4 linked regions of the Drosophila melanogaster genome follow. Changing the gene in region 1 together with any one later gene gives a genetic interaction. Each region holds a gene or a part of one and is shown on either strand. Other genes may lie near its edges. The genes, in order: Rho1, cv-c, RhoGEF2 and br.

What was found.
Region 2: of Rho1 (region 1) and cv-c, changing one suppresses a phenotype caused by changing the other (phenotypic suppression), as found in Drosophila melanogaster (4 studies listed by BioGRID).
Region 3: of Rho1 (region 1) and RhoGEF2, changing one suppresses a phenotype caused by changing the other (phenotypic suppression), as found in Drosophila melanogaster (2 studies listed by BioGRID).
Region 4: of Rho1 (region 1) and br, changing one enhances a phenotype caused by changing the other (phenotypic enhancement), as found in Drosophila melanogaster (2 studies listed by BioGRID).

Annotation. Positions count from the first base shown.
Region 1 is NT_033778.4:16,100,213-16,109,192, reverse strand, and holds Rho1 (Rho1), read right to left. Parts: upstream 6,507-8,980; 5' UTR 6,301-6,506; exon of another isoform or gene 6,244-6,300; intron 6,097-6,243; exon of another isoform or gene 5,885-6,096; intron 5,728-5,884; exon of another isoform or gene 5,583-5,727; 5' UTR 5,575-5,582; coding exon 5,419-5,574; intron 4,161-5,418; coding exon 4,011-4,160; intron 3,477-4,010; coding exon 3,396-3,476; intron 3,334-3,395; coding exon 3,142-3,333; 3' UTR 1,964-3,141; downstream 1-1,963. Other genes in the region: Ric (Ras-related protein interacting with calmodulin), read left to right, coding at 1-436; CG8414 (uncharacterized protein), read left to right, coding at 6,666-7,083, 7,143-7,358, 7,412-8,980. UniProt on the Drosophila melanogaster protein: Has a role in regulating actin cytoskeletal organization: required during early development for proper execution of morphogenetic movements of individual cells and groups of cells important for the formation of the embryonic body plan.
Region 2 is NT_033777.3:14,477,809-14,485,023, reverse strand, and holds the start of cv-c (crossveinless c), read left to right. Parts: upstream 1-3,310; 5' UTR 3,311-3,444; exon of another isoform or gene 3,445-4,111; 5' UTR 4,112-4,382; intron 4,383-7,215.
Region 3 is NT_033778.4:17,024,230-17,031,091, reverse strand, and holds the start of RhoGEF2 (Rho guanine nucleotide exchange factor 2), read right to left. Parts: upstream 3,903-6,862; 5' UTR 3,753-3,902; intron 2,420-3,752; 5' UTR 2,097-2,419; coding exon 2,071-2,096; intron 1-2,070. Other genes in the region: Dark (Death-associated APAF1-related killer), read right to left, coding at 4,664-5,347, 5,412-5,558, 5,614-5,733, 5,801-6,862.
Region 4 is NC_004354.4:1,609,088-1,616,314, reverse strand, and holds the start of br (broad), read right to left. Parts: upstream 3,975-7,227; 5' UTR 3,512-3,974; intron 2,659-3,511; exon of another isoform or gene 2,370-2,658; intron 1-2,369.

The sequences.
Region 1 (8,980 bases):
CACGGCCATGCGGGACCAATACATGCGTTGCGGCGAAGGTTTCATCATATGCTACTCGGTCACCGACCGCCACAGCTTCCAGGAGGCCTCCGAGTACAGGAAACTAATAACCCGTGTCCGCCTGTCCGAGGACATTCCGCTGGTTCTGATTGCCAACAAGGTGGACCTGGAGTCGCAGCGACGCGTGACCACCGAGGAGGGCCGGAATCTCGCCAACCAGTTCGGCTGCCCGTTTTTTGAGACATCGGCTGCACTGCGTCATTACATCGACGAGGCATTCTACACGTTGGTCCGCGAGATTCGACGCAAGGAAATGCACAAGGCCCTGGGCACGGACTCCAATTCGGAAAAGATTCACACGGGGCGACGAAGTCGCTGGTGGCGCATCCGATCCATTTTCGCATTGGTTTTCCGGCGCAGACGAAACCTTAACTAGACCAGGAGGCGGATTCCTTGAAATGAGTGCAATATTAACCACAAAAACCAAGTAACTTTTGTTTGCTATATTTTGTATATAGCACATACCCATCAGATACAACATACAAAAGAGAAATTAACCGATCGAGGAGCAGATAACTAATTGTTATGGCCACAGTGGTTTATTTATTATTTGTTATGGAAACTATTTAAAGTACTTGTTGTTGGCCGGAAAGGATAGCGAGGCAGTAGATCAGCGATAGAGTATATCAATACGTTTAAGCACCGATCCAAAAGATACATATTAACAATGCACGTACATATGTTTATGTAGTAAATATTACTAATGTTGATTCCTAGACGAGAGCGATTAAGCAAGTGTGGCAATTGGCTAAAGCTCAAAAGCATTTAAATTCAGCAAGATCGAGGGGTCGAGTCTTCCCCCACTAACAATCTGAACAACTCTGAATCCTAGCCAGGAGATTAACCCAAAAGCCAATTGCCAGGTGCGAAGGGCAGAGAATTGGAGGATTTTTAAACTTATGTATGTACGTATTTACCCAGAATACACGCACATGACATACGTTACACGAGCCACACATTTAACTAATCGAATAAATGTTGAATTTAATGTATACTAATATTATAAATCGATCGATCGACCTAAGAAGTATGTAAAACGCGGGAACATTGCAAATTATGAAATATGAATGAGAATGTGCGTTCATTTCAGATCCAAGCCCAAATTGATAATTTAAGTCCACGACAGCCGATGCATTTGTTGTTTAAGTTTGAGAAAAGTCTATTGTTTATATTGTTAAGGACACACGTGTTACGCCTAAGTTTATTTATTATTAGTTTAACGAAATCTGTTGATTACTTTTACCACAAGAAACCACACATCACGTTCTCTAAGCAATCACCATGAGTTCCTCTCATCAATGTTAACTGCATCACCGGAAACAAAATACTAACACGGCTTTAATTACTCTGTTTGTTACATGATCCCAAAAAACAGTTGAATGGACTACCCATAATTACTAATAATTAATTGTTATTGCGAATCCTGCAACCGTTCGAACCAAACAGATCGACTGACGAAAAAAAGAAAAACAACAGCTCCAACACGAAAACGAATCAAATGCGGGTAGAAATATAATAGAATTGCTTTCGCCGCGAAAGTTAAGCGATTAAAAAGTACGTTTTAAGAGAAAAGGCTTGGGAACTAGATGTTCAAAGCAATGTGTCGTGTCCATGTTGTTTCGAAAACGACATACCTGTTCGGGAATAATATTGTGAAACCTAATACCTAATCGATGAAAAACCAAAACATTTTGATTCATAATGTTATGTACATTTTAAATGTAAAAAAAAAAATTAAATACAAAAGCACAAAATAAACAAAAACAATACCCTCAATAAAGATTTTTTTAACCCCGTTAAAGATAAGTGTTTTGACTTTAAAGGGCGGGTATTCCCCGGATTTAAATCCATTATCTTAGCCTAATAAAATTCGATGCCCGGCCAAATAAGAAAACAGTTAGTTAAACCAAGAGTAGATCAAATGTACTGTTTATTCATAAGTATAATATAGTTTGGTTGTATCTGATGCATCTTCGAGTTTTTCAACTTCTGTGTGAGAATTACACGATTGACGGTACAAAATACAAAAAAAGAGACATACACATATGTACTGTATAGTATAATTATATGTATAATCGTATTTTATAAAATCATAAAATACTCTTCATATAGTTGTTTGGTTGTTTTGTAGTATCTTTTTTTTTTTATGTTTTCCACTCGTTTTAATGCAAAGTACAAATATTAAAAACTCGCTTAATGCGCTCGAAATAGTTTTTCACTTCATCAAAAATTTTCCCTCTTAGCATCTCCCACGCGAAAACTGAATGCATCTCATTTGTGGCTTACGTTTAGTTAAATAAACATTTATCGTTTTTGTTTTGTTTTGTTTTGTGTTTAGTTCGGCTCTTGTAATGTAGTTTCGCTTCCAACTCCTATTGGCGGCCTGGTCTCTCTGTATTTGATAGATTTAATGGGAACATAACTCTCATCTTGACGCCTACGACCTCCTTGGACCCCGGGATCCAACATCCGATTCCGTTTCCGATTCTGTTCCTAATTCCACTGATTCACCTGACTCACTCACCCTCGCATACGACACAATCTCGTCCAGCCACAGCCGACTCTACACTTGACAACACAGTTAACGAAATAATAACATACATCTAGGAGGAGGGGGTGGACAGAAACGGACACAACTTGAATATGTTTACATATATCGATATATATTTTTTGCTTGCAGTGGCTGACTGATTGATCTGCTCTGCCCTAGTTTTTACAAATAATAATGCCAGAGTTATTACTGTTGTTTACTTCGGTTTATAACTACACTAGACTGTATATAAAATCAAATCCGCATTTGACATTCTACTTGGTGCTGCCTTCCCTTATATCTCGCTGCATCCCTCCTCCGCTGATCTTCTAGCTCAAGCTCTCTGTTTTCTGCTCATGTTTGTTGCTGGTTGGGTGGTGGTGCAGCTTCGTGTATCCGATGTTCTGGTTGTTCTTGATGTTGTTGTTGAGTGGTTGTTGTTCAGCTCGTTATTGTTGTAAAAGGTGTGTATGTGTGTTTGTGTGTGTTTATGCTGTTGTTTTTGCTGTGTGTGTGTGTGGTAAAGATTTTCATGTTGTTGATTTGCTCTTTTAGAGCAAAAGGCATCTGGTCTTCTTCCTCTTTTTGACTTGCAGCGCGGCCCTAGTTGCCGTCTCGAAAACATCTCGCACACCCTCCTTGGACTTAGCCGAACACTCCAAATAGGCAAAGGCATTAATCTTCTCGGCCATGGCGCGACCCTCCTGCGGCTTCACCGGCTCCTGCTTCATTTTTGCTAGATCCTGTAAAATCAAGTTTAGTTTAGTGCTGCAAGTTCACCTCGTTCAACAGCGCGTATACGTACCCGAATTGTGTTGGGATCATTTCGCAAATCTTTCTTATTTCCTACCAAAATGATTGGAACATTTGGACAAAAGTGTTTGACCTGCAATAATGTAGTAAGGATTAGTATCATATTTTGATATCAGATTCCATATAGTCGAACTGCAAAAACAAGTAATTCGTAATTGGGAACCACTTACTTTCTTCTTATCTATATCTATCATTATAAATTAAAGGCTGAGAAGTAAGGAAATGATTCAGAAAGTCAAAGCAAATTGGCTCATAGCAGACTATTTTTAGTGATTAAACTAGAAATAACCAACAATTCTATTAAACTTTCCTCGTTCTAAACCAAAACCAGTCTTTCAGATAGCTTCAATGACATAAACAAGAACACAGAGATGCATAGTCTTAAAGATTCCATATCATAAGCAAATGCATTCGATAACTTCAAAAATGTTTAATATATTTTAACTGGAGTTAAAAGTTCAACTTTTTCCAAATTTGCATCATTACATAAAAATTAAAAACATATTTTGTCTAGACTTGTTAGTTCCGTATAGTATATATATATATAGTACCATACTTGTTTACGATCGTCTGATAGAAACTGTTCTGTAATTCCAGTTAAACTCACCTCTGGGGTCCATTTTTCAGGAATATTTTCTAGCGAATCGGGTGAATCCACTGAGAAACACATCAGTATGACGTCAGTGTCGGGATAGCTCAGCGGTCGTAGTCTGTCGTAGTCCTCCTGCCCGGCCGTATCCCACAAGGCCAGCTCCACCTGGAGAATCGGATGCGGATTATGATTGAGAGTTACGCTTGCAGTTGCGGTGTCGTCAGGGTTATAGATAGATGGGGCTTTTTGTGGCACGGGACGGTGCGATGCGGGCTCGGAGGAGAATGGGACAAGTTCGAGTTGAAGATAGCATGAGTGCGAGTACGAGAGTGTGAGCAAGGAACTTGACGGAAATGCCAAACGAATTAATCACATCGAAGCGAGGCGAAGTGGAATGACGTGAACTTGTGTGTATGTAAACGCTATCCAAACAGAAACACAAACAGAAACTGAAAATTGAAAACCCGCCATATTGCGCAGCAAAGGCAAACACACAGTGTTTATTTCGAAAAAAAGCGCCTGAAAATACTGTAGATCCCAAATGGAATATATGAACGAACATATAGCCAAATCATGACTTGATGCCCCAATGGAAAACGCACATTACATTCCATAGAGTAAGGGAGTGCGCGGTGGAGCGGGAGAGCGCTCCCCCCCCTTAGAAGAGAGTACAGGTAGGCAGGGAGAAAGAGTAAGAGTGAGAGCGCCCGAGAGAGCAGCAGAAAGAGCGGGGGGCGGCGCAACGCATTAAACTGTATGTGCGCAACGGACTTGTATAAGACAAATACAAAATAAAAAGAAAAGAAAACGAGCGGAAGGAAGGGAGCAGCACTACTTCTGTGTGTGTGTGTGTGCTGCCAACTCTCTGTTGAGCATGTGTGCGTGTAAGTGTGGGGAAATGTGCCCAAGTGTGACTTAATCACTGCTATCAAAACTTTGAATTCTTCGGAAAAATCCAAATTTGCACTCCACTTAACCAAAAATGATCTTAATTTTTCTTTTGCTTTTCCAGACACCTTTATTTATGGATGCGTCTGTGGGCATGAGGCGATATTGACTCATTTCATTTTACAGGCGAAGAAAAGGAAATACAACGACCAAGGTGTGGGTGAAGTTGTGGGTGGCACAAACAAGAGAACAATAAACACACACCCATGGGAACACACACCCGCACACACACACACACACACACACACACACACAGAGGCGGGTGGAAAGTGTAAGGAGGATACGCGCACTTGAAAAACGGAATGAATTGAGAATGCACACAAATTATAAAACGAGATCAGACGATTATCACTTGGATGGCAGGGTGGGGTTATCAGGGGAGGGGGGTCAGCCACCGGTTGGGGGTGGCATTCAGAGTGGTGGACGGGACGGGTAGTTAGGGGAGGGGCGGGCCTGTCCGGGAAAAGGGGCTTACCTGTTTGCCATCCACCTCGATGTCGGCCACATAATTCTCGAATACGGTGGGCACATAGACCTCGGGGAACTGATCTTTGCTGAAGACAATCAGAAGGCAAGTTTTACCGCAGGCACCGTCGCCGACAATTACCAATTTCTTGCGAATCGTCGTCATTGGAAGTTCTGCAAAAGGCAAAATCAAACTGTAGCTAGATGCAATGCAAGTGCAGCGGATGCCCGAGGATTCCGAGTCCGATTCTGAATCCGAATACAATTTTCGATTCCGAATCCGAGTCAGCCGTTCTGTTTTATATATTCGCGAAAACTGAACGAGCGCCTGTTCAAAAAATTATCAAAATGAAAAAGCCACACACACACTCGCATACAGTCACACGCACACTGGTGGACACACAGCACAAATACACTCGCGCGCTCGCTCTCTTTTCCGATAGCCCTCTCCCGCTCGCGCACACACTTAGTCATACTTGCGGCTGGACGGCGATCTAATAGTATAAAGTGTGGGGTTCTTTCTTATCTGGCCATTGTCCATTGTCCGTTAGCCGAGTTTTTCCCGTTTTTCTTTACGGTTTTTCGCATTCGCATTTTCATTTTGGTCGCGTCATAGGGCCGCCCGCTTCTCCACCCCTCTCTCCAACACTCCAGGAAACTCCTCTCTCCGCGCCCGTCCCGCTCACACTTTATTCCAAAAACATCTCATCATCCACTCTCGGTATGGCTGTGTGTGTGTGTGTGTGCGTGTGTCTGTTCGCCTCTGGCTGGGCGTGCGTGCATTTGTGTGCGTGCTGTGTGGAATTTTTTCACTTCTGCTCTTTCGGCCACTTACAATTTATATTGGTGATTTCACAACACTCAGCACGAATTCGACACTTAATTTGCTTACAAAATGGCACAAATTTGTTGATTCTTATGCGTCTACCGTTTAGCTATATCGTATAAAAGTTAATGCAATTACAAAAATTCGAATTGAACTCGACGATTTTTTCCCATGCAAAATGACGATGAACAATGTTCATCCGTTTCATTTCTCGGTAGCGGGATGAACGCTCGATGACCAACCAACGCCTTCGAGCGCAGGGCTGTTATTAACCCAATCGATAGTTCTCATCGATGGCAACTCTGTGCGCGTTATTCCCATGACCGACCACGACTGGTAACACCGCACATATGTTATTCTTGCTCTTCTTCTTAAATTTGCGGTCGCATGGCCCGGGAAGTATTGGTAGTTCAGCAAAAAACTGAAAAGGAATGCTTGACGAACATATTCTGAAAGAAATGAAACTGAGCTTCCAGCTCACCGAACAGCGAGAACTAGCCTCTGGTCGCCGTAAGCCGGAAAAACCACAACACCCACCTGCTGTTCCAAAGAAAAAAGTTATTTCAAAGGTGGCCAGCAATCCTGCAAAGATTTCGGAAACAATGATTCAAAAAGCCCAGATGGAGTCGCCCAAAAAATCCAAGAAAAATAAGACAGCCGGCGCAAAGAGACCTCTTTCCAATAATGTGTCGAATCCAGACAGTTCACCATCCCAGAAGAGGCTTAAAAAGGATAATACCCTACCCAAAAAGAATCCTGTAAATAAATCCTCAAATGTTGCAGCTAAAAAATCTGCAGCAACAAGCAAAAGTGCTAAGCTTCCTATTCCCAAGGTTCATAGTATAAATGGTATGCATTAGATCCAGAATTACAACCTCATTTTATTTTAATATATATGTATTTTTCAGAATTAGCTCCTAAGAAAACCAAAGTCAAGACGCCAAATAAAACAAAAGAAGCAAGTTTATCTAAGAAACATAAGGTAAATGGAAACAAGAGCTCAATGAAGGTCGTACAAAATGGTAAAGTAGTAGAGATAATTGGTACTGCAGCGGAAACAAGTGACATTGAAATGAATTCATTGGATGATTGGAGTGAAGAAGACGATTATTTAATTGAAAGTGGTAAGGAATTTTTAATATTACTCTTGTTTCTTAACTTAAACTATGTTTTTTAGACTCTGAAAACGATGTAGTTGAAGAAATAGACGAGACATTTCTTAAAGATCCAAAGATTTTTAAGGTCAAATGCAAAGGCCCCGAATACAAGTTATCAGATATTCTTCCTCCTTTTGAACACGATGAATACCAACCTCTTTTGTTGGATGGGGATGGCAGTGGAACAGTTCGAAAGATTAAGGTATTTAAAAGTGCACAGGAAGAAACTGACAGCGACGAAGATGACATTGATTATGAGCCAGAAGATAGCGATGACTTTGGATCGGAGGAATTTGACAGCGAAGAGTCTGACAGTGAAGACACAAGCAGCGCAGACTATGATAGTGATGGAGATTTCTACAGTGAATATAGCGATATGGAGGATGTTAGTGACAGCGATAGTGAAGAATTCGGAAGCGATATCTTCGACACCGACGACCTCGATTCAACTTATGAGCCACCTGACATTGAGGGATTCTTCGATCATCCACCTGTGGGTATGCAAAGAGAGCCGCTTATTATAGAGGAAATCTTCGACGATCCGCCTGTGGAAAAAAAGCAAGAACGTATTGAACAGTCAAGTGTTATGGATATTGTTGTAAAAAACTTAAGCAGTGTGCCCCCAAAGAAGGAGTCTGAAGTTGCAATTGAAACCGAAGAGAATGATGAGGTATCACTGCCTGAAGTTGTAACACCAGAAAAGGAAAATTATCTCCAACCAAGCGATGTCCCGTTTTACAGAAATCCGCAAGCGAATCCCACTGAGCTTAGCGTCTTTGAGAACAGTCTGAAGAGCAATCATGTGCTGGCCGTGATTAAGGAGGACCTCGAAGTTTATGGCACACTAGTGTTGACTCTACTCTGTGGTCAAATATCAGTAAATGGTTACAGAGCACGCAGGCAGGAAGCAATCACAATTTATTCTCCTAAAGGCCTTAATTGGGTATCTATTTCGCCAACCAAGACTAAAAAACCTGTAAAAGATGAGGTAAATTGGGAAGAACTCAACAAGAACTTTACACGCGCCCAGCTAGACAGGATTAAGACCAGCTTTCAGCGTCAGACGAATGCAATAGTACTGCTCCACCGAAACACAAGTGCCCAGCAGCTCGTCGATACCTTTGGCAAGCACATGGCGCAAAATGTATTCCCACTTGTCAATTCTTCCAATCGACCATTTGGCCAAAGTGAAACCCTGTTGCACTGTCTGATTCAATCGAGCGATCAAAGTCGCACTCTCCAAGTTCCGCAGGTTTGGAATAAGTTACAAATGCATGCAACGAGCCGAATAATCGTAGCCGGTGGTAAGGGCGTCGGAAAGTCTAGTTTATTGCGTTACCTCATCAACCGAAATCTGGGTCAATTCCCATCCATGCTGCTCATCGACCTGGACATTGGTCAGCCGGAAATATTTGTACCCCAGACTATTTCTTGCACCGTAATTGATGAGCCCCTTCTGGGACCGGGCTTCCTGTACAACAGGCAGCCGGAACATGCCATTGTCGTGGGCCACACCAACATTGTCTTGTGCGCAGAGCAGTATGCCCGAGCAGTTATTCAGCTAGTCCAAAACATTCAGAACGATGCCA
Region 2 (7,215 bases), on another chromosome or scaffold:
TTATTCTTTGTTAGGACTTCCGCTTATTTTATTCAAATCTTATGTACAATATTTATTTTTTACTGGTGTATAGCACTGTATTTTGGGGTAGATATGATCCATATTTGCACAGCGCCTGCCTGAGTCACTCGTTAAGTCGACTCAGCGCGATGTGTCAGTTTATAGGCTGGCTGGCCTGCCGTCTGGCATTTGTAATTGAAGGACCCAAATGACTTATCTCAGACACCCGGCTCTGGGGTCCCCGCTTCCCGGTCAAAACAAACAGCACTTAAAATGTGTTTTCTTGTTTGCCCGCCATGTAACAAGTGGCTGGCAGGCGGAAGTGAACTAGCCAAGGATTCCAAAGGTAAAAGGCAAACACGCGCAGAGACGTGACTACCTGTGGATGGTGAATAGAGCCATAAATACGATCGTTTGTCATAGAACAAGGGTCCTATTCTGCGACTCCCTGGACTTCATGGACACTCCAGGTATCCGCCCATTAATCATGCAATTGTGGCTGCAACCGGCAGCAGATTTCGCGGCAAGGCTCATCAATAAATAATTTGCGGCCAATAGAAATGCAGTGCGTGGGGTGGCGCTTAGATTAATGAAGGCGTCGCGATTAGAATCAATTTGAATTAATGAACATTTATAGCGGCTTTTGGAGCTTGTTTGCATACAAACACGCGCAGCGGGTTGTTTCGGCCTGGCGAAAACAAAACAAATAAAAAAAAAAACGAACAATAAAAACAAAAGACTTAGGCAACGAACTTTGGGCGGCAACGGGTAGTGTTGAGATTTTGGCCAAAATGTTGGACCGCCCGGCTGGTCGACTTGCTTATTAATTTCACATGCCTTGGCCATAATGAAAGGCGATTTTATATGGCCCGGCCGCCTGCCGTCGTTTATAATCAAGTTAAATGCGCGCTCGTCCATAAAAACTCGACTTATCAGCCAAACGGCAAGGCCAACAAATGGCGCAAATGCATTTAGGGGTGTGCGGCAAAATAGGGGGGGGGGGTATTCCGCCCTATCTTCTGCCTATGCCACAAAATCTGCATATTGCACCGTTTGGAGACAGTGCGACCATTAACAGAATGATGTCGCTGAGTGAGTGCAAGAGCGAAGCGAGCATTGCCTTTTTTATGGCACTTTTCACTCGCTTCGGTTTCGGTTTGGTTTTAACTCGGTGCGGCGCATTGCATTATGGAAAATCCCATACAACTTTATTGGCCAGCTTCCCGCTGTGTGCAAATATATAACTCTGTTTATCGCATTTCATACGGCATTATTTATGCCAAAGTGAAAAGTACACGTACAGCGAGAAAATATAACAGGAAAACAACTGCTTTGTAAGTATACAAATTCAAAAGATTGCTTTAAAATTTATGTTTTTATATGATTATTAATAGCATAATAATGTTGAAGAAAAATATAATAATTGACTTCATATTCTAATTAGAGAAAGTGCTGGACTAGGTGCATTTTTTGCAGTGCACTGTCTAAGACAAATTTCACCCGATGCCATTGGCATTGAAAACTATTCAAAATATTTCCGAAAATATCTGCGTGGCATCTTTTTGTTTCTCAATATTTTTGCTTTTGATGTGTTTACCTTTCGTTGGAAATCAAGGGGGCCAGACGCTATCGATCAAGCATGCAGCACATCACACGGCATGGAGTTTCTGAATTGGAATCTGGAGTTCATGAAGGGACTGGGATTCATTCGGAGATTGGGGAGCTCCTCACACGCTCGCTTAGATTTCAACACAATGGGCAGTTTCGATTTCAAAGCCGGCAAGAGAACCCGAGCACGTAGATCGGGTCGGGAATGGTTATGGGTAAATGGGTATATCTCTCTGCGACGTTGATGCGCACCTTCGATAAGGATGAGACCGACCGGCGAACACACCTCAAAACGTTATGAAATGCGGAGGGAACGAGAAGAGAAAACGCAAGAGAAAAGCCAATAGAATGGAAAAATAAGGAGATGGCACAAAAACAGGAAAGAGTTGACACGGCTAATCCTGACGAATTGTTGTTAGCTGTCTTGGTTCATTCAACAATTTGGTCGGAACAAGAGTTCGTTCTCCTCCATAAGAATGATTTATAATTTCACGTGCTTTATTCTTGGACCTTACAAACGTCTTCGGTTTTAATATTTATTAACTAAGCACCACCAATTAGCTGCAACTAATTAACTGCCAGTTAGAGGTGTTTATATGATTTTTTTCCTCTTATCTTATACTCCTACAAATTATTAATGGTATTCAAAAGGCTCATTATGCCATTAACTTTATGGTTTTCAAACTGTGGTCATATCTGTATTTTTAACTAAATTACAGACTTGAAGGATTTTAAATTAAAAGTTTAGCTATCTAATTAGATAATTATTCATTTACACAAATCGTAGAACTCTGCTAACCGGTTATTGAGTATTTTATTGCACTTGAAACGTAAGTTGCTTTAAATCATGATTATATTATGATTAGTAATATATAATTTGTTCTTCTGACTAGGAACATTAGTTTTGTTTTAGTAGGTTACAAAAGTAAAGTGATTAAATAGTCCACAGCTCACTTGTGAGTTTTTCATTATCATTATATACAGTTAGTTTGTCTCGCTTTCGTTTTGGTTCACACAATTTTATGGGTGAAAAAGTGTTAAGCCAATGCAGGCGCTAATCAAATTGAGACAACGAAAGTGTTAAGTCGACTTCCAGGAATCGGGCTATTAAATGAGCGTTGGGCCATAAATCTGCAGATAAGACAATGCCCCACTGATAAGAACTAAGGGAGATGCCAGTCGATAAAGCCTGAAAGAGGCTGCACAAAGATGAGGCCCGGGTCATAAAATCAGAAACCCAAACACACTAAATAAGCCATAGAGAAGACTAACATGGGATTTTATCACCGCTTGTTAGTGTAAATTTACAAACACATTCGAATGGGTGTGTAAGAGCTACAAATACATCCATATGCTTGGAGTTTTTCCAACTGTTTTTACTTTCAATAAACAATTCTAGGGGATTTCCTCTCGAACTGCAACATGCTTGAGGTCGTTTGAGATCGCTCCGATCGGCTCGAATTGAGCTGTTGGCGCAGTTTGAGCGCAACATGTTGCTCTCTTCATAATTCTTGCTGTTAGCTCGCTCTGTTAACCGGTAATCGCGGGTCTCGCGCATGTTAACTCCATGTGAACAGCAAGCGAACGTTTTGAGTTCCCATAGAAATAGCGTCTGTTAACCGCTAAAACGCTGTATCTTAACATTTCCATTGAAAACAAAGCGGGTAAGCAGGGTGATCCAACCACGAGTTTGTTGGATACAACAGTTGGGTTTCCACCTCGACCGGGAAAAGTCGGGCAAATTTAAAGCGCTCCTCTGTTATTCAAATTTTTTAAAAACATACTGAATCCAAAAAACCGTTGTTTATTGGCAGTTCTCAGGTTTTTACGAAAAAGGTGAACATTGAATTTAGGATCCGAAAAAACGTGCGGGTCAAGAGATGTAAATATATTGCAAAATACTGCATCAAGTGTTAATAATCATTTTCAGAAACATAAGCTAAAAAACTGTGAGTGCGTGACATCGTGTGTTTTGGATACGTTTTATGAATGAGCGCGGGTGTGAACGAATTTTTCGGAGTCAACAACAAATAACGAACGCGATAAACAGAGGCACACTCACACAACCGCGATTAAAAAGGCACTCTCCATTAAACAATAAAGAAATCTCTTGTTTTTCGAAAAGCAAATAGAAAATACGAAAATGTAGCGCGGAAATTGCAGTGCCAAAGAAAACAAACGCATCGTTTGTTGGGCTTGAATTTCGCACGGTTTTAACACTTCCCATAATAAAAAATAAACATCTTTCGAAACCAGAAAAGTAAAAATAAAAACTGCGTGCAGAAAAATATATAAAATTAAATAGTGCATAAAAATCGGTTTTCTTTGCGGTTCGGTTCCGTTTTTGTTTATTTGTAGTGTGCGTGTGTTTCTGTTTCCCCCTTTCTATCTCTATCCCTGTCTCTTTCTCTGCCTCACCGCCCGTCTCTTTCTCTCTTTCGAGTAAGAGAACGCGTGCTTTTGTTTTCGATTACGTTTACTACATTTTTTGTACGCCCCATAGAAAAAAACATGACGAAATGTTGTTGTTGAAAACGAGAAATAAATACAAGTGATTCAGAAAAATAAAAAAATAAACGAAACAACGAAAATAAAAGAGAAATTACACATCTGATTTATACGAAAAGAAAAGTTCTGTGAAGCAATATACGAAAGTAAAATTCTATTTGGTGTTTATAGAATCTCCGATGGTGTTGTGAAATCAAAGAAATAAAGAAAACCCAAAGCTACAGATACTCTCTTCGCGAGCAGCAACCGCAAACGCATCTAAAAAGGTAAATAGAGCTTCGGGACCCCATGTCGCTTATCTTCGGGGTAGGATAAACAATCCATCCAGCTTATCTGCAGGTCCATAAAGATCTGCAGATCTCGAGAAATCCAGACGTCGCTTGTTTATGGGTGGCTTCGGGGCTTCCTAGAACGAAACGTCAGAGTTTTAGATACATCTTGTGATTGTCGCCGGGTTTGCCACTTACTTTCACTCCCCAAAATTTACCTGAGTTTCTCGGTTTTCTAGTCTTTGACTTTGTGGTACAACTTTATCTTGTCAGCTGCGAACTGAAAAAGATAGTGATAACCTAAATAGTATATGTTTACAGTTAGTTAGTCGCTGGCATAATCTACGCGACGCGTTCGAGTTATCTGCGATCGTTTTTATTGGCCTTATACGAGTTCTGATCGGCTTTCTTTACCATTTCCGCTGCTGTTTGAATTGTCAGCGCTTTATTTTGATTCATAAATCATAATCGCTATGTATTGTAGTTTGTTTACACTCTGGTCGAGTGCTGCTTTTTCCCTCCAGCGTTTGTTTTTAATTCATGGGAATAATCACCGAAAAGTGCACAAACAATCCGAATCCGATTTGCATACTTATTGAGAACTCAGCCAAATGGCAGGCGTAGCATTTCCGGTTCTAAAATGCGTCATCGGAGTATGTCGATCGTTTTAACCCCCGAGAAACTGAAACTGGCGACCCGTTTTGTCTACCATAACAACAACTCTTGATACGGCCCGCCCTTTATTATTTTACAGCATAGCCACCTTATATATAGAAACTCGTTTTTCGTTGTTTCTGCCTTTGTTGTTTATACTCCACATACGTACCGATAAGTATGTAAATAAGTTCACAGCGAAACACTTGTGCTGGGTGCTTGATAAAATAGCAAATTTCAGGTAAATAAAACTGAAACAATATTTCGACTGGCCTGGCGTTCTTCATCTTCTGGTTGGGAAAGACCCAAAAAAATTGATAATTCAATGTTTATAAGTTACATGCAGTTAGGATTTTTAATATTATTTCATTTATTTAGATATGAAATTCAAAACATAAACAAAATAAACAAGACATCTCCCATCCTAAAACATCTTCCGTAAAAAACTCGCTTCTGATTTTTAATTAAACAAAACCATGTTACACCCAATCCAGCAGCTTAGAAGCAAATCTCTGCCCAGATTTTCCCTGATTTAGTAAAATCGCTTTCCCCTTGTTCGGCAGCTCGCAAACATTTATCAGGCGGGGCAGGTTCATCAATTTCGTGTGTGATAAATGTCGTACAAGAATTTACACAAATATGTATGCATGTCTCTATGTCTCTGCTCCAGCTGCCGGGTACAAGCTGAGTTGACAAAATGATTTGTTTGGGCGCCCCATGTTTTGTCTTATTGTCGCCAACCCCTCACCAGAGCATCTTCATGATCACCGATCGCTGAGCGCCACCCTGAACTTAAGGCCAGAATCTCGAATCTCGATGCAGATCTCATCTACGGACTGGAGTAACGAAACAGCCACTAATTCCAAACAATGTAAGGCATTATTTATTTTTAACTGAGGTCATCAGCGTAGACATCGTCTATTACAAAAAACGCCCGCCTCTCTCTAGAATTTTTCATCTCATCGTGCTGGGAGCTCCGGTTCTCCGGTTCTACGATTCCCCAGTTCTCAGTGCTCCATTCTCTGTTCTCAGTTTTCCGATCGCTACACAGAAACACAATATGATCGGTTTTAAATCTGATATTATGATTAAATTCAAGCATAAGGAGGAAAATTTTGAAATCTTATAAGATCTATCTGCTCTTTTAAGTAAAAATTTCTTAATTACATAAAGACATGAATAATATTTTACTGAGCACTTCTTTTTTGTGTTATTATTATTATTGTATTAAAACATCGATTTTTTATGTGTACGGTTTTGAGTTCTATAGTGTTGTTCTTATTTCAAACTTAATGTGCTCGGTGCTGTTTTTTGTTCAGCTGTTGAACTCGAACTCTCACCAAATTATGCCACACACACAAACACCCAAACTGATAGTGTGAGAAAGAGAGGGGTAGCATGGCGGGGGAAAGAGAAGCCGAGCAGTTTTAGTTGGGTTTACAAAGATCCAAGACCAAAGAGCCAAGACCCAATGCCAGCGGGGCCAGCAAACATTATTTGAAATATTTATGCTTGACTTTTGCGCCTCAATGACTTTTGAATTGCCTTGCCTTTGGCTGCCAGTTTCCACACACACAGCACACACTCACACAACCGCACTACCACACGTGTGCATAAATGTATCTGGATTTTATGTCGGTTCTTAAAGATACGCGCCGATCTTTGTGTATATTTTTACATGCCGGCGCGCACATATGTTGCATCAATGGATGTTTGGGATCTAAGATTCCTAGCCCCACCGGAGAAAACTACACAAACATTAAAGACACATTAACCTGCTTTTAATTTGTCAATATTAGCTGGTCAAAGTCGTTGGTCCGCGCAGAAGAAAGGCCTTTCTCGGGTTCTCAGGCCACACTTTTCATTTCTTTCGGCCATCGTTGGAAAGTGAGGCAACAACTCAGGCCAGCTGAGAAGAAAAAGGCAAAAAGGCAATAACTCTGCACGACAGACCCAGCATGTCTGAATGTCTGAAATGTTGACCTTTTCACAGCTGGAACCATCTCTCACATCATATCGTTTGTGGGGTTCTTTTCGGTCTGGCCGTACAGCATATTAGCCCATTGCTCGGCCGCTTGTCAATTTCTGTCAGTTGCTTGTCAAAAAATTTGTTTGGTTGTAAAAAATGCAGTGAAAACGTTTACAGACCACAGATCACCACCAAAAATAGGAAAAC
Region 3 (6,862 bases), 920 kb from region 1:
AAACTCTTATTTATTCATTATTATAATAATAATTATTATTAATTCAGTAAGCTCAAGTGTAATTAAAACCCTGCCCGCATAATATGAACTCCATCTTGATATCTGGCAGCAGAAAAGCAACAATTTTTTCAATATGAAATAGCGCTGTGGATATTTCATTGTTTTAAAGTCTTCGCTTTGAGTGACTAATTTTCTATCCGTCGTTATCTATCAAATCTTTATCTTCATTTACTCAGATTAGTTGTCACCAATACCATTTTACTAATCTTGTAAAACCTTTTATCGCCTTTTTATACACACTGATTTGGTGACTACCGTCTCTGTGGTTACAATTAATTCATTTTTATTGTTCCTTTACTAAACCATGATGGTTGATTAGCTAGTTAGTTTGTATACCCTTTAAAATACTAGACTTCAGGCATTGAATAGAACCAGCGGATTGCCAGCTCAATCATCTATGAGAGGTAATCAATGCTGAATAATTTCATGGCGGAACTGCTTCTGCTCTTCGCCAACGATTCCCATGTGGTATGCTGGGTTTTAAAGAGCAGATAGCTAGATTAGTGGCTAATCAAGACCTCGCTGTGAATGCGACAAACATGTAACGAAAGTCACGGCCAAAGCCAAAGCCAAGCGATTTGTCGTCGCTGGTGGGTCTCTTTTAATTGAGCTAAAATTAAATCAGCCAGAAGAATAGATACACTTTAATTGCCGTTTATTTGATCATTTTGCATGTGAATGGAATGGATAAACATACATATGTACATATGTATGTCCCAGTATACAGTGTGTACCACCTTCGGACCCGTTCATATACCGGAATATAATAAAAGCTCATTTCCCGCCTGGTGAATTCATCATTATGATGAGTTATTTCCATAACAGCCGGGCGGGCAGGCAAGACCTCCAAAAATCAAATGTTTACATTAACTTTTTTGACTGATTGGCCCATGTCAATAGCATGTCTCTCCGTTTGATCCAAGTGAATTCTCTTTCTGTCTAAATTTAGCTGCCTAATTTTGAGGAAATCTTGCTGCAGCCCGTTGACGGGCTGGCATAAAACCTGTTAAGGCCCACAAATCAGACGACAACACCAGTGGTGGTGAGCTGTTAATAGATTTAAATCATTTTGCATAGGTATATTATACAATTCGTGGTTAAGACACCACCACCAAATGCACACACAAGCATGCTTAGAAAGTCACTGGTTTCGCCAATCTATTTGGGCTAAAACTTCCCTAGGTGGCAATAAAAGAAATAAATGGTAAAATGTGAAAACTGGCCGCTCCCTAAGTTGGTGAGCGTATATATGTATTAAGTCATCCGTTTGGCAGTCGAAACCGCACAAAAACAACCCCAAGCTTGGGGGAACTATTGGTATAAACAATCAGCAAACACAGTGCGTTTCAGAACTGTGAGACGGCGCAAAGTTTCACCTCGTCAATTGGCTATTTTCAAACAACGTTTGCTGACTAATCACGGGTCAAATGAATTAGTAATTGCTTACAAAAGTTGATCGGTGATCTAATGCACAGTTAAATCATCTGTAACTGGCTTAAGAACTATTTAAAATGTAGTAAAATACCTATTATTTTAATATAATTTCGAGGATTCTTAAAGGCTGCTACACTATTTAGGCAACGATCTTACATAAGTTGCTAGTTCTTAAGGGTAGCCCTAATATGTTAATATAAGCACTTAGGTCAAGAATGTGTGAAAGCTTCTTTTATGAGTAAAAATTCTTCCGATTTGATATAATAAGAGCTTTAACTTTTTGTGTGACTAATATCTTCTTCTTCTTCGAGATTTCATTAAAATTATTCAATTCCCACAACCAGTTGACACTGCCTTTGAAATTTGCATTAAACCTGCCTCTATGATGTATATTTGGTATATTTATTAGTATGTGTATAATCGACTGTTGCTTGCGAATAAGAACGAAAATAACAATTATTAAGTCTGTCGAGGACAAAAGATAAATTCTTATCGCAATGCGAGCAATTTAACCAGTGGGAAAGTGGAAAGTGGGGAAATTGTAGCGCATGGAGACAGTGGAGCAGTTGAACTCACCGTTTTTTGATTGATGGGTCATCCATAGGGTTTCCTGCGATGGCTTTTGCTGGCTGCTGTGCGGGTGCGAAGATGCAAATTCAAAGGCATGCGTAAGCCACTCGAAGTCGGAGGATCCCGTGGAGTATTGTTCGCATTGGTGTGGGGCCAGTCACCAGAAGTGGTTGCGGAATGCTTTCGGCAGCTATTTTTAAATTAGCTAGTAAAAACGGGCCGAAATGAATCCAGAAGTGATTTAATTGCCTCGATTTTCGTTGCTTTAGTTCTGTTTTATGATTTTTTGGTTGCACTATTCCAATGGGTTTTGATATGTGTATATATATTTTGCACTGCTACTTTTCACTTAAACCTGTGGGCACACAAAATTCGTTTGAAGACATTTCGGGCATTAATGCATGTACATTAAAATATTTGTTTGCATTTTTTTTTTTTTTTTTTGAGTGGGTGGTGAAGGGTTATGGGGGATGGGGCGGATCGGAGAGGGTTCAAATGCAGGCAGCAATCTCCTTGCAATTTCATTGTTTTTATTCCAACACAGATAACTGAACAGCACACCCACACACTCACGCGCAAGCCATACATATTCCAATGCCTATGGCTCTCTCGCCGCGCTCGTTCTCTCTCACTCTCTCTCGTAATCTCTTGCTTTCTCTGTCACTCGCAGGCAGCAGTTGTTGCTGGTTTTATTGTTGTGCTTTTTGCTGACTAGTTTTCACGAAACATTTAATGGATGACGACTTGGGGTTGGGGGAAAACAAGTTTTTGGCCGAAAAATTGAAATACTAATGCTATACTAATGGGTCAGAGCGGACACACAAGCAGGAAAATTCCAGCGATCCTTTCCAGATTTGCGTATTTTCCATTAGAACAGCTGATTGTTCAATTAATCGCTTGTGTTCAATTAGCGTGACGAAAACCCAAAAAGAAAAACAAAGACTCCCTCTCTTTCTTTGAATTTGCACTGATCTCACTGTTTGTTTACCTAAATAAATCAATTCTTGCAGTTTCACTCCTTTTTAATTAAACGCAAATATTTAATTGAATAAATATGTATACACACAAACTGGACTGACTGACTGACTGAGTGTGTGTGGGGGTGCGAGTGCGATCATCGCCGCAAACGCAAAGGCAAAACAATATGGCTGCCGCAAGCCACTTGTTAGAGAAAAACAAGGGATTCGAAGCCTCGGAAAGCGTCCAGTTGTTTATCATTTACTCATTAATTCGATCGCTTCCCGCTCCGTCAAGCCGCACATCCCTAAAATCGAATTAAAGCCATGTACTGCAGTTCAAGAGTTCAGCACTCGACGCACTCACACACGCGCGTCGCTCACTAACACTCACTGCCACCGATGGGCGAGTGTGGAAAATAAATACACATATGCCGTCATACATTCGATGCCCCTATAAGCGCGCTGCGTCTGTCTGCGTGCGATGGGTTAGAGATCATTTTTAGACAAATTTGCGTACAATATTTCCTGGCAGTTGCAAGCTCGCGATTTTGCCATTGACGAGCGTGCACAAATGCACTTAAATATGTATGAATTTTACGCCAGTGTGTGGGTGCGCGGAATGCATGTAGTCACTTTTTTTATTTATTGCTTTTGTTGCTGCAGTGAGCTCACGCGTAGCGAGTTGCGCATCATTCTTTCTCTGCTTCGCCACTTTCGCCACGCACTTACTTAAAACGCACTCGTATTGTATTCCATAAAGACACGAAAAATGTTTTTATTTTTTTCACTTATCGCGCCATCAACACGCACACGACGTTCTTTTCTTTTCAGCTTGAAAATTGGAATGAAATGACGAGAAAGAGCGCATATCTGCCAGTGTTGAAAAGGGCTTTAGTTCGGTACGGAATTCAGTACCTAAAACTGGTACAAACAAGGTACCTTGCCGATGATACAAGTTAGCTATTGGTTTTTATTCATTGTTTTAAATGCTTCTTAATATATTTCGTACGTGTGTTCATTAAGGCAATGTGTGTAAATCTTAGCTTATAAAAATTATAGCCCAAACTTGACTTGAACTTTTTAATAAAACCAAAATGCAAACATTGAGGCCAAAGCCTTTTTATTAATTTAAGTCAGCTTAGAAGTAGACGAGCCACAATCCAGATACGTACCTATTTATTGGACCGCAACACTGATATCCATACACGAACTTAGCAGCACTGTCCCGGGACCAATGCTTTTGCAACACTTGATCTGGCGTGCCTGGCAGAAATCAAAACAAACGCACAGCACAACCACCCACACAGACATGCATGCATACATACATACGGACAGCACAAAGAGCAGACAACAAAACCGCGTTCTGTGTTTTTCGTGAAATGTCGTTTATTTGGTGGCGGTTACTCGCGTTGACAAACAAAGGCAGGGCAACGCACCCACCGCCCTCTGAGATATCATACTTGGTTAGCTGCATACATTCGCAAATGTAAGCGCCAACAACTAATGTTTGCCTAGGACAAATCCGGACCCAGGAGGTAGAAGAGCAAAACCATCAGGTAGTAGAGCAGTAATCCTATAAATGCCATGTTGTAGTTTGGACTTTCCTGTTTCGTGCGCCGCCTAGGGACGCACTTCTGGCGTCATGAACTGGCCTCCTCCAGAATTGGTGTCGCCCTCGCCACTCCGCCGTTCTTCTCCAGAACCAGGTTGCCAACTACATCAGCACCCTCGCTATCCGAATCCTGCATAAGTGGGCTGTCGAGAATTCGAAGATTTTTTAAGTCTTCATACTGATTGGCAATATCCAACGTAACTGGGTCAGGTGGAGGTTGAAGTCTGCTTAACTCCAGCAACTGCAGATGGTAGTAGACACCCTCGTCATCTATGGCATAAAAGTGGGAGAAGTGGGCGTCTGTGAAGAACTGACGAGCTTCATTTCCCACAAATTTAACGCAGGCCAGGAGTTCCGGACGGATGGCATTGCCGCGCTTATTCCGCCACAGTTCCGCAGTCCCTCGGTTCACCGGATGAAACTCGTCGGCAACGAATGTCACATCTACATCGATGTCCGCTGCAATGGGCGCCGCATCCACAGCATCCTCTTGTGTAACACTGTGCTGCTTATGGCGTCGACTGCGCCGCCGTTTTTGCTCGCGCTCCAATTGATTGTTGCGCATGTGCGTCACATTCCAGAAGCACAGCTGCTCCGCGCAGCTGATCAGGAGCAACTTACATGGCGAGAATAGCAATTGCCGGATGCAGTGCTCGTGGACCTCTTCAATGCTGTAGATCAGTTGAACTTTTCTGTTTTCAACGGCAAAGAGCTGTTGGGAAATGTATAATTAGCAGGAAATAATTATGAAACGAATTTGTAAGACGTATGTATACCTCTAAAGTGCCATTTTCGAAACCCATAGCCAACATGGTACCATCATCCGTGGCTACCAAATAGCTGATCTTGGCCTTCTGGGCGATCTCTTCTTCGCAAATCTGTTCGTACCTTAGTTGGTTACAGCTGAATATTAAACGGAATACCTGTCGTTGGAAATAATTGATAATTGTTTAATGATATTATGTTTAGCAAACCCACATCGATGATGTTGTTTTCGTAGGCCAGAAAGAGAAGACTGTTCTTTAGATCAAAGCCGACAATGTATTCCTCCGAATCCTTTGGTTTCACGAATGCAGATGGGTTAGCTATATCCAGATGCTGTTGGTAAATATTGAAATCAAATACTGCACTTTTACTCGCATAAACTTCAATTAAGAACACTCACACAGACTCCGTGGTCGGAAAACAAAATGATATACTGTCCTTCCTGCAAGGACGCGTACTTGGTACTAACATCCATCATCAATGGCCACTGGTCATTGGGTTGCAGCGGATCTATCTTTTCCAGCTGGAATATCACAGTCTTCTGGGCACTGTGTGCCGACGCCACCAGAATGTTGGGACTGACCTGTTTGAGGTAATCAATGGGCTCCTCTATAAACTGCTGAGGTAGCGCTGTATCATGAATAACATCTATTATCACTCCGTCCACATAGCCAACGAAAATCTGTTCGTCGTTAAAGGCGGATATGGCATTTATCTTACAGTTACTGGCAGCATGAGTGGGTGTGATTGTGGACCATTCGGAAATTCTAGAAATGGCCGGTTTAATTAGGTGAATGCGCTCCTTGGAGTCCACAGCCAGAAGTTGCGTCCGCTCTCTGGTCATGTCCATCAGAGAACGCAGATAGACATTAGGCTCCAAGCAAGCCTTTGTCATCACGCTTATCTCATCTGCACTGTGAACCCAGGCGATTTCCCTGTTTTGATGTGAATTCGAGCCGCTTACAGAGCGCAATGTGTGCACATGGACCACCTGTTTTCCCTTAGCGCCGCACAAAACAATGTACTTATAGACAGGATCAAACAGCTCGTATATATCCACACACTCTATATGTTCGCTGACATTGCTGCGTAGCACGGGATCAGAGATTTTCAGATCATACACAATAAGTCCCTCGGACGTGCCCAGCAGTAGGTAACGTCCGTCAGTCGAACGCTTTCCGCAGGTGATGAAACTTCCTTCTGGCAGTTGCACTGCCTCCGATTGCAAACTAACCGAAAGACCTGGCAAAAAATTGAGCCGCCATACGCTGTACTTAAAAATCAGCAACACGGTGGCGGTCTTACTCCTTTCGTCAAATACATCTAAGGCCAACGGCGTGTCGTTTTCGACATTAAAAACATGTAGTTCCAGCGTATTGCTGGAACCGTTGGTCAAATCCCATACAGTAAGTGTGCAATTTGAGGTGCAGACCACGTAATATCGCTTTAAAACCTGAACGAA
Region 4 (7,227 bases), on another chromosome or scaffold:
AAATAAACGAAAAAATTAACCAGCGATCCGACCGTTGGCAGTGCATCGAAGAAGAAGCCCAACCCATTCCCATACACATGACCATACCCCTACCCATTTCCAATCCCATTCCCCGTGACGTCCTAGTACCCCACAACTATGAACATGACACTCATGACCAACTGACTGACTGAGCAAGCCGAGCAGGAAGAAGCAGCAGGGAAAGCGCAGAGCAGAAGAAAGGGGAGTTGCAGTGCTAAGTGCAGAAGAAAACAAAGTGAAGAATTGTGCACTCCGAACGAGAATTGCTCTGGGATAAGGAAATGTATTGTTCAAAAGTAATTAAATGACGTATGTACTTTTAGGACTAAAAATCCTACTCATAAAATAGTAAGAAATGATTTCTTCAAGATGCTTTAAAAATTACTCCAAATTTGAGATTAAGTATTTTCAAAATCTTTGGCGTACTTGTCTTCCATCTTCAATTGGCTGTCTCCTGTGCCGGGGCAGAAATAGAAACATCGCGAATGAAGCAGAGGCAGGTCGCAGAAGAAAGGAGAATTGAGAATTGAGCGCGGAGAATCGAGAACGGAGAACGAAGAACGCGAGGGTGACAGAGACAGAGGCAGAGGCAAAAGGGGAAAACTGGAGAAGAGTTATCTCCTAGCCTTTGTGCCTGTCCCATTTGTTTGTCTATCCGGCTTTTGGCCTTGGAGTAACCGTTTCCGAGAACTTGGGAACTCGCCTATATGTATGTCCATGTGTCTATATGTCTATAGCGATAACTATGCACTTTGTATGTCCCTGTCCTCGTCTGTTGGCTCTTCGCATTCGCGTTTGTGTCTGATGTTTTCTGTGTTTATTTTGCAACTCCTCGACTCACCGCTCGCAATTTGCGGCGGCCTTGAATGACACGATCATTACGCTGATCGTGCTCATCATGATCATCATCGTGATCCCTATTTGTTACTGCGACGGATGCATTTGTGGCTGCTGTTGCACCCAAACAAGTGCTCCGTTGCTAGAACATGAGTCATGTGAGTGTGAGTGGAGAGCTGGCAACTGAAACTCTGGGGAGCTGCTGCTGCTCGTCTGCGTGCTTTGTCCACTTGTGGCGATGCGGCTCTCAATTGGCCGCAGTTTCCAGTTGATTCCAGTTGATTGGGCTTCAAGGCTAACGGAAGTGCTACTGGTTGCTAGTCTGTTGTGCAGTTTCTCTAACTGCCCGCTTCTGTCTCTGAGCCTCTGATTACCACTAGCCCCAAGTGGGTCGCCCAGGCCGTTACCCCGGTTCGGATGTCCTTTTACTGTTGCTCCACTCATAAGCTTCCTGGAACTCAAGCTGGCACTGGAGTGGGCACTTGTGCCCTTGCCGCACTGCATTTGCAGCATTTACAATCTGTGGCAGCAACAATTGCAGTGCGGCAACAACAAGTTATGCGCCGACAACCTTGAATGTCGGCCAGTCGCACACAGATGGCTAGCACGCACACGCAGACATCCTAATACACAGACACTGACACAGGCACAGGCACAGACACAGTACGCAGACAGCGTCTAGTCGGGGCCACCACTTTGGCGAGTCTCCTCCATCTCCATCTCCTCCGTCTCCTCTGTCTCCGCCGCCTCTGTTTTCCTAGCATCCAGCTATCCGACAGCCACCAGCCACCACATTCGCATCCCGAGCTTCACAGCACGTCCCACGTGTGTTCCCCACACCCCCAGCCCCTCCTGGCTCTGACTGTGGCTCTGGCTGTGGCGTAGTCTGGCTGCGTCTCTAGTTTCTGTCGTTTTATGCTTTTTTCGCTCTTCCTTTTTGCTAGGCACGCTTCGTTGGCTGCCTGCAATTTTCATTCAGTTTTTCTCTCGTCGCGCGACTTTCCCACCCCGCCCCCACCGCTTCTTTTCCTCCTCTTCCTCGCGTTGCAGGAATGCAGAAAAATGTGTTAGTGGAGTAGTTGCCATTACGTCACCTTGCTGTGACTGTGCCTGTGCCCATGTCCGTGTGAGTGCGCCAGTGTGCGAGTGTATGGGTGCCGGTCTTTGTGGCTTGCAGATGGGGAATGGGAATGGCTGATGATGGTTGTGGATGGGGATAGAAATGGGGACGGCGGAGTGTTGTTGTCGTTTGAGTGACTCGTCTGGGTCTCGGTCTGGGTCTGGGTCGCCCTAACAACTGGGAGAACAAAAAGAAGAAGCTGGCGTTACCACCTTTCCTACAGATCGGTGGGTGGAGCAGGAGAAGCAGCAGGAGTAGTGGGGACCCTGTCACCAAACCGCTTGACTGCGTGCCTGTCTGGCCATTTGAGTCTCGCTGTTGGCCCAGTTCCAGAAGCAAACCCATTGAAAGCAAAAGTTTCAGAAACACCACCGCTCCTCACGTGACTTACCTGCCGTAGAGCTAATCCTGAGATTGATTCCTGAGACCGATTGCGATCGAAATAGAATCAGCAAAAGCCTGAGTGGGTTGCTAAAAGGATACTATGTATATAACGAGAAACATCAACAGAAAAAAAAATATAAACGCAACGAAAACAAAATTGGCGTGGAAGCAAGCTGCTTGCGGATGTGCAGATATACAGATATGCGGATATGCGGATGCCGATATTATGTGAACTTGCGAATTCAGCGCGACTTGCACTTTGCGCGAGCGATTTACGGTACTCAGTTTGCAGTTTGCAATTCGCAATTGGCGATGAGCTGCCACACGACGTTTGCTCAGTGCGACGCTGAACAGCAAACTGCAGTTCCGCCGTTTCGGGCTGGCTTTCGATCGTTCCCGAACCCTGCCCAACCGGCCTTCGTGTTCGGCCGAGTGCAGATCCTCAGCTGCCTTCGCCTTGGCCGTGAGCTTCACGAAGCCTCAGTCTGACTGACAGACTGCAGCCGAAAAAGCGAGGAGTGGCGGGTAGCGGACAAGTGGGGAAGTGGGGAAGTGGGGAAGTGTGGAAGTGTAGAAGTGGAACAATGCAGCGCAGAGTCCAGGGGTGGAGAAGCTGAAACGGGGCTGAAAGAGGCGACTGAGGCTACTGTGCTGCCCTGCTTCCTGCAGTGCATCTGTATCTGTAACAGTATATGTGTCTGTATCTGTATATGTATATGTAGCTGCATCTGTATCTGTATCTGTATCCGTACACTCTGTGCGTCTTTGTGTGCCTTTGTATGCAGATGCACCGAAATTTTTGGACAGTTCGAAGGGAGGGGTCTAGGCCCGGTCCGTCCGCTTTTGTGACTCTTCATCAAAGTGCTAATGAGGAGAGCCGAGCCCAAAGGCAGAGAGGGAGAGAGCAGGCAGCTGCATCGGATGACTCAAATGTCCTTCTTATGGATCGGGCCACGAATCCGAATCAAATTTCAGTGTGTATCTGTACCTGCAACCGTGTGTGAGAATATGGATGTGTGTGTGTGTGTATGTCGATATAGATCTGGATGCTAGGCTCCCTCTGCCCCTAGATCAAGGAGCTTCCAGCACGTTCGGTTTGCCCTACAAAGCAAAGCGGATGGGGTCGGATGGGATGTAGGAAACCCTTACCTGGATGGTGCGGTTGTAGTTGCGCTCAGTAGGTGCATCCTTGCTCATGGCGGCGCTTCATTGGGTCGACTACTTGGGGATGCACACTGATTATTCACTTGAACTTTTGGGGCTTTGGGTTTTTGGGGTTGGCTTTCGCTTTTTCCGCTCCTGATTCTGCGATTCAGTGATTTAGCTATTCTTGGATTCTTAGATTCTTTTGATTCAAAACGCGCGCGAATCGCGCACTAGATGGTTTGCGTCCTTTGGTCTTTGCTTGGGTGCACTTGACAAAAAACACAAAAAAATAGAACAGAGGGAATTGTCCAGTCCTCGTGTGTGTGTTGGATACTGCTGTGGTGCGTTGGTGCGGTGGTGCGAGGGTAGGCGTGGGGTGGGCACTAATGCTATTCAATTCGGGCTCAAACTTAGAAATGGAAATTGAAATTGTGCGTTTAGGCTGAACTAACTTTAGTAACTGAACCGATCGAATTAAAAAGCTCAACTGAGTTCCGAAAAAATGCAGTTAAATGTGTTGGGCTTGTGCCGCTGCCCTCTGCCAGTGTGCGTGTGTATTGGTGTGTGCGCGAGTGTGTGCGTCTGCCCAATTGAATCAGAGAATTCGCTGTGCACCAGTGTTTGTGATATATATGTGTGTGTGTGTATATACTTATGCCGCCTGTATGTTTCATTCGCTTTTTTCGCTTCTTGCTTTTTACTTTTTACTTTTTGCCTTATTTGCTCGCTTTTTTGTTATATACTTCTCGTGTGCGATTGTGTGTTTCCTTCGCTTTTTTGGAGTGCAGCGACGTCGACGGCGGCGGCAGCGGCAGCAGTGCGATCTGCGATCTGCGATCTGCGTTCTGCGATCAACTCGATCCGATCGCTGCAGTTTACAGCGCTGCCTGCAGCGCAGTCGCCAAAAAAACGAGCAAATTTTCTGCGCATGCGACGGCGGCGAAGCCGAGCAAGCGAAAATTGCGTTTTTTTCGGGGGTTCCATGTGTGTGGTTGTGGTTTTTTTATTATTTTTTTTTCTGCTGTCCGTATATTCTGTTGTGTTTTCTGGTATTGCCCATTTAGAAGTTTTGTTTATTCATTGTCAGGCCGACAAAATTGGGGGAAATGAAATGCAAAGTCGTCGGCGAGCGAACGAATCAACGAGCGCCGCCCACACACCGATGCAATTACAAACGCGAATGTTTGGGGCAGATCCGCAGATCGGCAGCGGCAAATTGTAAATAGAGTGATATGGAGCGAGAGGGGTAAGGGGAATGGGAACGGGTAGGGGAATATGCAACTTTCCCCCTATGTAACTCCAAAGATACAGAAAGCGGTACATACGCACACAAAGTCGGCGGCGATCGGAGCGTTTTTTTTTTTAGGCAGAATATCGTCGTGCGTCTTCGGCTCGGAATTGCCCGATTTCACGACCCGCCTGTACCCCCTTCCCACCATACCCCCACAGAGGGTTCCAATTGAAAGTGTAGCCCACATTTCGAGCCCCATCCCAAACGCAAACCCAAATCCAAAGTCGGCCTGTTTTTAGGGCCTTCCCCTGCCTTCCCTCCCTTGCGTCACCCTTTGGAATTGCATTTTCTGCTGATGTTGGTGAAGAGTTGTTTAATATTTTGGTTACCATTACCATTACCATTACCGCATTTTATTACATGGCTCCCCTGTTTGCCATAACCCAGATTCCCATTTCCCTGCTCCCCCGCCCCACCTCCTGGCACGCACAAAGACTTAAGACCGAAGACTGCAGAGCGAAGATTTGCTGGCCCTGAGGAGAAACTGAGCGACTGAGTCTGAGAAACTTGTTGCCACTTGCATCTTGTTTGCCAGTTTTTTTTTTTGTCCGAATTTAATTGTTTTTGCAGCGTTTTTATTTTACTGCTGCATCCCCTTGTTGTTGTCGCCGATATTTTTATGAGCTGTTTTTGGTTTTTTTATTTTTTAGATTCATGCGTGGCGATTTTGGTTTTTTAATTCTGCTGGTCTCGCACTCACGTTAGCATTTTTCAAGAATTGTCTTGAGTGTTGTTTTGTTAAGGTTTCCCTGTCTGCAGTGACCTCTTGCCGATTCATAAACGTATAAATGTATCTACACGTACCATATACACAACATTACCTACGTACCCATAATGCCTTTATTGCTGCGTCTCGTTCGGTTTATGGTTGTTTCAAGATCATCGCAAATGTCACCGAGTCACAGATTAGCCAGAAAGAGGCGAGTCGCGCGGGCAGGGACCACTGTAGTCGCTCTAAGCTCCGCTCCTTTGTTGGGTCTCCGGTTTCGGGTTGGGTGCTTTGCAATTACAACCGGCATTAACCTCTAGGCGGCGCAAACGGAGTCGCAGGCAGCCAACAACCTCGACAACAACCTGACGGCGTAGACGCCGACGTCGAAGGCAGAAGGCAGAAAACAGCGACTGCGAAGGCGAAATGATCACATTGAACTTGTCGATGTCGTTTGTTCTAATTGAAACTGCAGTGGGTTAGTCACCCGCAGTCACTCGCTCCCGCTCACGCACTGGCCATCTCCATCCGCCGACGTCGATCTCTCTTCGCCTGCATATCGGGCGTATACGTAATACGCGAGGAGGTCAACGACGGAACCGCCAGCGATATAGATGGGGCGCGAGCGAGAGAGAGAGTGAGAATTAGAGACTGCCCTCGCCAGCCGTGAAACACCAGTGTTTACACGAGAAGCGCTTTGATCAAGTTCAACGCCCGCGATCCAGTCGATCCAGTGCCATTTCGGAATACAAAATACAAAATACGAATGCGAATGCGAATACGAATACGAATCCGAAATGACTGGGGAATGTGCGATCAGAGCGCGGAGGAAGTGCAGCAAATCTAAATAATGGGTTTGGGAAAGATCCCGTATCTGGCACACGAAGATAGTCAAGTGCACGAGGTCGTAAACAATATCGGCATACAATATTTTCCTAGCTTCCTCTTCGTGAAAATTACAAATACCATAGGATACCATTGGCAATGCCAACTATATGATGTATCGTACAAGTTTGCCATCGATTGGAATATATATACATATATGAAAACTCGAGGTGTTTTTAAATGCTTAGCATTGAATTCAGCGTACAAATATTTGGTTATCTACGTATATATATTATATATGTACCAGAAAATGGGATATACCGCGAAACACTGGTTTCGAATATGATTTGGAAGGGAAGCACATTGGTGGTGGAATTGATCAATACATAAACAAAGACCCTTTGATGGAAAAATCCAACCTGCATCCGTACTTTCAGATTAAGCAGCAGTACATGTACTGCCACAATAAATACCGAATCCACTAAAATGAGCACACTTACATGTCTGAATTTTCGGCTGAGTCAGGTGCATGGGATCCCCTAGAGCTGCTCTGGATTCCGGTGGGTGATCCGACTCTGGCTGAGATCCTGGAACTCCGCACGCCACACACTCTCACTTTTACTGGGACAGTTTGTCAGGGTTTTTGTTGCGGTTGCTCGCTACTCTATCGGTTGGTTCAGATTGCATTTGATAGTATTTTGATTCGTCCCCGGATCGACTGGTTTATCACTTGATTTTTGGGTGTTCCTATTTTCTTGACTGGCCTTCACCTCGATTAGATTCTAGATTTGATTTATTGCACAACTTGTCATCTCTGCGGTACACCAAACAAAAAGAAAACAATCAACAATCGGCGCGGTGGAAACGGTGGAAATGCCTAAAATCCCGAGATGC